2 linked regions of the Rattus norvegicus genome follow. The protein of the gene in region 1 interacts with the protein of each later gene in a pairwise test. Links are inferred from orthologs where the notes say so. Each region holds a gene or a part of one and is shown on either strand. Other genes may lie near its edges.

The links. The genes of interacting proteins can lie anywhere in the genome.
Region 2: the proteins of Sh3gl1 (region 1) and Dppa4 interact in binary tests that used the Homo sapiens proteins (3 or more experiments, as listed by UniProt). The link is inferred for Rattus norvegicus from reciprocal best matches to the Homo sapiens genes SH3GL1 and DPPA4.

What each region holds. Positions count from the first base shown.
Region 1 is NC_086027.1:936,548-939,890, reverse strand, and holds part of Sh3gl1 (endophilin-A2), read left to right. Parts: intron 1-2,636; coding exon 2,637-2,705; intron 2,706-2,818; coding exon 2,819-2,891; intron 2,892-3,343. UniProt on the Homo sapiens protein: Implicated in endocytosis. May recruit other proteins to membranes with high curvature.
Region 2 is NC_086029.1:66,032,756-66,035,755, forward strand, and holds the end of Dppa4 (developmental pluripotency-associated protein 4), read right to left. Parts: intron 2,048-3,000; coding exon 1,852-2,047; intron 1,046-1,851; coding exon 1,012-1,045; 3' UTR 501-1,011; downstream 1-500. UniProt on the Homo sapiens protein: May be involved in the maintenance of active epigenetic status of target genes. May inhibit differentiation of embryonic cells into a primitive ectoderm lineage.

The sequences.
Region 1 (3,343 bases):
GTCTGTCATGGTGCTGGCACTGGTAAATTGGAGCAGGTGAGCCTTTGACCCCCACCTGTGTCAACTTGCCCCCAAACTAGTCTGAGTCCCTGTTTTGAAGGCTGTGCTGAGGAGCAGCAACAGAAGGATCTGGAAGCTTCAGTGTATGAGGCATAGTTGCTGCGTCCACTGGACATCATGTCCATCCATAGACAGTTGTCATGTTCAGTTACACATAGTGGGGTCCCACTTTGACCCTCTGGATGACTGTAACTGAATGTAGCAGGGAGCCACTGGGCACTCTCCCTCCCCTTCTGTGATATGATCTTTGTTGCTCAGATTGAACCCTCCCACCCCCCATGGCTACCAAGTCACAATCATGGGATGTGATTGTTTAAGGGTGGCTGTCCATCAGCAGCCCCCATGGACCCGCCAAAAACCCCACTCTTCCTAACTTCTCTGTCACACATCCAGTTACCTGCCTCATGGCTCCTCTATCCTGTGCAGCCATGATGGTCTGTATCATGCTCTGAAAGACACTGTTTCTGCTTAGTTTGGCAACATGGGGCAAGGGCCCTACCCAGTAGCACCCTAGTCTCTATGATCCCGTTGGGTGGCTAGTCTCCCCATTGTGTCCTTTCTACTCCCATCCCAGGTACCTGGTTTACAGTAACATTGTTAACGGAGACCATATTAGGCAGACCCAATATGAGTAGCCAAGCTACTGGCTTCCTGTGCTCTAAGGGGTCAAATCTGTAGTAACAGGCTGGCCAGAGAAGTGGGAGCAATCTTGGTGCACATTGCTTTGGGCTTGTCCCCTAGAGTTCCCAGCACAATCCTGCTAGGGCAGTGATGCCCACATATCCACCAGCCCTGCCAGGTTAGCTGAGCACTACTCAGTTTGTACTCCAGAGTGACTGCAGCAAGGCAGCTCTTGGGAGGGATGGTGACCTCTGCAGGGCTGGCAGCTCTCTGCCAAGAACCTAGGTCTTTGCATGCCACCATGCAACCCTGTTGTGCTGTGGAGGCTGATGACTCCCCACAGACTTGTAAACAGGCTGTACCTTGCCTTCTGGCTCTGGAGTGAGGGTGTCTTGTCTCCTAGTTTTCTCCTGTGCCGATACCTGCCCCCGAGCTGTGGAGGGATGTGATTTTGCAAACGGCTCAGAGTACGAGGTTGCAGCTTGCTCATGGCATATTCAGTGATGTGTGGCCCCAGTGGAGCTCTTGGGCCTTGGGGAGGCTGGGTCTCCAGATCACAGGGCACAAGAGATAGGACCATTAAGAAAGCCGCTAGGTGTGCTCTGGGCTCCCCTCTTCCTGCCTTGCTGCCCTTCTTAAGATACCATGCCCCAGGCCCAGTTGCTGTCCCCGGAAGCTGTGGCCCTGCCTTACTTCTCTGCATTTACCATAAGAGCTAGGCCTTGTGGTGGGTGACATCCTGCCTCTGCTCAGCCTAGAGAAGCGAAACTGTTTGTGAAAGCTGGTGGGGTTCCCTGGGAATACCCATACACCTGGTGGGGCCTGTCCTGGGCCTCTCCATGAGTATGAAGATCTAAGACAGGCTCTGGGGACCCTCATGGGTAACCCTGTCTAGTGGACAGGGCAAGCCAGAGACTATGGCAGCCTTCAGATCACTGTGGGTAGCTACCCAAGCACAGGGTTGGGAGGTCACTCCCCTGCTTCTACAGCCACCCCACCCACTTCCTGATATCTTTGGTCATTTCCTCCCAGAGTACAAAGTCGTTACTGTTCCTGCCTGTGACATGGGTACCATACAGCCCTTGCAAAACCCTTGTAACAGCTCAGAGTCAGGAGCACCAAGGTCATGGCACCTGAAAATCCACACTGGTACCTTATCTCAGGAGTCCAGCCTGCTACTGTGCATGTGTGGCTTCCATGCCTTTAGCCTCTGAGCAAAGGCACCCTAGAAATACCCCCATACTGGGCCCCCTGTCTCTATAGCTAGTAGTAGACCTGTCATATCTCATGCGAGGGTGACCTGGGCAGTGGCTACCTTGCTTGTGTGTCCTAGGGGCTTGGGTATGATGAGTGAGGATGATTGTGGTGGGCAGATTGGGGTCTTGTGCCCCAGAGGGGTGACACATATTGTTTGGCATTCAGATAGTAACACAGCCACTCAGGACTCTCTGCCAGGTCCAGCAGGGTCAGGGCCCAGCTGTGTCTACTCTGCTCCAGGCTCTCAAGTCTAGGCTCCTGATTGCAAAGTGTGCTTTGTGAGGTCAAGTTCTGACTTCCTTGAGAGGGGGGGGAGGGTCCATCCTTATCAGCTGTCAATGTCAAAGTGGCAGGCACCAAGGACTCAGGTACACAAGAGCTTCCTGAAGCCTGCAGTATCCACAAGGCTTGAGCTGCCATGGGGTCTGTGCTCTGCCTTTGCCAAAGTAACAGGGTCAGCCAAGAACTGGGAAAGATGGAAGTCTCCATGGGGCATGGGCCTGGGACCTCAGAGGCAGTGCGCAATGCTAGCTGGGTCACAGCACACCCCAGCACTGTTGGCTTCTCTAGGGCTCACCCAGATACCCCATCTGCCCGCCTTTCCTGGAGTTCACATCCTTGACAGATACAGTTGCCCTCCACAAGCCAGCAGGAATTCCTCCTGTGCCCTCACATGCCTTCCTCCTTGTACCCAACAGCTGGTCAGCGAGAAAGTTGGTGGGGCCGAAGGGACCAAACTGGATGATGACTTCAGAGAGATGGAAAAGGTAGGATTCCACACTGGACTGTGGTGGGGGCTACTCCTGCTGGAGGACAGAAGAGCCTATATCCAGCTCCACCTCCACCTCTAATGGCTCCAACACTGTGGCTCTCTCCACAGAAAGTGGATATCACCAGTAAGGCCGTGGCAGAGGTGCTGGTCAGAACCATAGAATATCTGCAACCTAACCCAGGTAGGTAGGGCCTGGGCCTCTGGTTAGAGGGGTAGGAAGGGGAATACTGGGTCTGATTCCTCAGACTTCCCTTGGAACTGAAGTGATAATGACCTACTCTTGATGGCCTCTACACACACAAGGATTCCCTCTGCTGACTTGCAGAGCCAGTGTGCAGTGGAACCAGGTCTTCCCAGGCAAGGGTGACAGGGCACTCACTGAAGATTGAGAAAGTTAGACCACGTTCAAGAACCCAGACCACAGTGCTGTGATCATTTTGGCCTCTGCAGATGACAGATAGGCCTTCTTGCCAAGGCCTGGAGGAAGGGATGTATTGGAATTGTTCCCCTCCTCTGTGAACTGCCAAGTCCTTGGGAGTATACCCAGAGACAGCCTGGTGCCTGGCCCACTGGCCAGTTGGGGATATGAGGGCCCTGGTCTGGTGTACGCCTCAGTACAGTATAGTGTGGAGA
Region 2 (3,000 bases), on another chromosome or scaffold:
TCACTCCCCCAGGAACAGATCAGAACACTACCCGTCTGTCTGTTGTGGATTTCATCCAAGGTACTTGTAGTACTGATCACCAGCTCCTTGTCCTTTTCAGACAAGAGAGGGAGGCAGAAACAGGGTTGGCAGTTGAGTGTATGACATCAACTACAAACAGTAGGGGTCCATCAGGAGATGATAGAAGCCTAGCAATCTCACAGAAAGCTTCTGCCCTAACTTATACTCAATCCCCCGAGGGAACCAGCAAGCACCTTTCTGTTCCTTTATGGAATAACTGCATTGCTGGTACAGAGGATACAAAGTGGTTGGTGATGGTGGCCTTCATTCCCATCACACCCTGAGCACATGGTTGTAGCCTGGCTCTTCCTGGCTTGGGACAGAGCCCCACCCTACCTCTCTCTGTTCCAAGCATTGTTCCAAAGTCCTCTCACACAAGATGTCCAGAGAGGCAGAACGAACTCAGGGGAAAAGTAATCAATCAAACAGATAACAAAAACAAAAGCCACAAACCAGATTTGGTATAATATTTTACAACAGCAGAAAACAAACCCAAATACTGAGCACTAACATCACACTACAAACCAGGGAAGGGGACACGCAGAGGCTACAGGCACAAGCTAAGTCTTTACAGTTGACCACTGAACTGGCTGTGACCCCACTGTGCTGGTGACAGGACTAGCAACTGTTACATCTGGACATGTCATAGTCCTGCCCTAGGACTTACCTGCAGCAAACATAGAACACTTTACTTTCACACAAGAGAAAGAGGCCACTCCCAGTGTTCAGTCATCACAATGAGCAGAGGACCTTTTGGTGGCCTCCGTGGCTTTGTCTAAACTGCTTGTACTTAAGCATCAACTAACTTACAATATCCCATCACTCCTGGGTGAGATGGGCACCTTCAAAGGTGTGGGTTTCCATCAGTCTCAGTGTCAGCTGCAGTTCTGCTGATCACGCCACAAGAGTGAGTGATGCCAGTAGCCTGTCCAACCTTAAGAGATCCGTTCTTTATCCTTCAAGGCTCTTAGTTAAGATCTTGTTCCTAGAAAACAAATTTATCCATGGATTCATTCATTTACATATTTCTTCCTTCCCCACTTCAGCATCCCCTTGCCCCCCATCTGATGGAGTCTCAGGTAGATCAGGCTTGCCCTGAACTCCTAATAATCTATCCCAGTCTACACTACATTGAGTGCTGAGATTACAAATGGTCTGCTGAGAATACAAGTTAAGAGACCAGAACCAGGAAGGAGCTAAGATTTAAAAATAGGCAAGATCTGTTGGGAATGTATGCATGAACCTTTGAATTTGATCTCCACACTGCATAACCCAGGCCCCAGGGCACCATGTAATCCCATGCTCAGAAAGTGGAGACAGGACAGTGAGAACTTCAAGGCTGGCTTCAAATTGCTAAGTGGTGGCTGTGCATGATTTTCATCCCTGTACCAAGGAGGTAGAGGCAGGCTGTTGGTTGAGGTCAGCCTGATCTACAGAGCTTAGTTCCAAGACTGCCAGTTAGAGAAAAACAAAAACAAATGAAACCAAAATAACACCTCCCAGAAAATTAAAGGGTTTTCACAAAATAGGGTCTCAATATGATCTAGGTGAGCCTTGGTTCCTAGCCATCCCAAAAGTAGACAAAAACCTGTTAGTATGGCTTAATGCCAAGCAGGAGGCAGAGGCAGGCAGACTTTTTTTGCTTCAAGTTTGAGATCAGCACAATCTACATAGCAAGATCTGTAAATGCAGCTCCTTGGGAATATACTTACATGATTAAGGTAAGTAATATTCGACACAGCTAATTGAAATTAACCTTTCCCTCGGGCAGCACACACCCACAGCACTCACTTATGGACACACTTGGGGCACAGCATGTTATCCTCCAGGTGTGGGGGCGGAAATGTGCAGGCCGGAAGCAGGAAGAGGGCAATCGCTTTCCCTTTCTTATCGGGTACCCAGGCTTGTCCAGCATGGAACTGTAGTCGAACCCAACCACTTGAGGTTGCGGGAAGGCTTGTCCCATGCACCACACACCACATTTCCCCTGTGGAACCAAAGAGATTTAACATGAACACACCAGAGTTTCAGACTAGACTTGATGCTTCTCTGAAATGCCAGCCCTGAGGTAAGACTGGGAATCCAACCTTCATCTCAATCCATTTTGTTACCTACAGTGAATGTACACAAGAGACCCTCAGGGCTTTACTTTAGGGCTGTAGATATAGCTCTAATGGTAAGGAGTTTGCTTTAGACTGCTCTAGTGATCCTAACACATCACACGTACACCAAACAAACTCCCAGAAAACTGCTGGGGTGGGGGTGCTACATGATTTCAATCCCAGCACTAAGGAGGTACAGGCTGTCAGGTTGAGGTCAGCTTGATCTACAGAGCTTAGCTCCAGGACAGCCAGAGTTAGAGAAAAGAAACAAAAACAGACAAAAAAAAAAAAAAAAAAAAATCCTATAAAAAAATCCCAAACAAACAAAACCAAAAAGCACCTCCCAGCAAATTAAAGGGTTTTCATGAAATAGGATCTTATCACGAAACTATGGCGGCCCCACTAGTTACAAGATCCTGCTTCTGCCTCCCAAGTACTATGGTTGAGTCCTTTGCAAGAAGTGCTCAACCCCTAGCATCTTTCTCGCCCTAGGACCACCCATTATCATCAGGCTAAGCAGGATTTTCCTTCATGACATCTCTGCTATTCTTACAACAGGGGCTCTCTGAATTTTGAAAGTCTCATGTAGCCTGGGTTGAATTTAAACTGCCCATCCACCTACTCAGGCATTGGAATCAACATGTTTGAGTATGTGCTTGCTTTACTAAGAAGAAACTGTAATCAGTTACCCTCACCAACTTAACAGATGCCAAGAGAACCGAGTCTTCAGCCCTGTCCTTCAAATGAAAAATGTAAGAGGAAGAAAGAACACCAAGCACATCTTGCTTCTTGTGTGGGGAGTGAGTAATCTGAAGTTATTTTCAAAGTGTGACTTCCT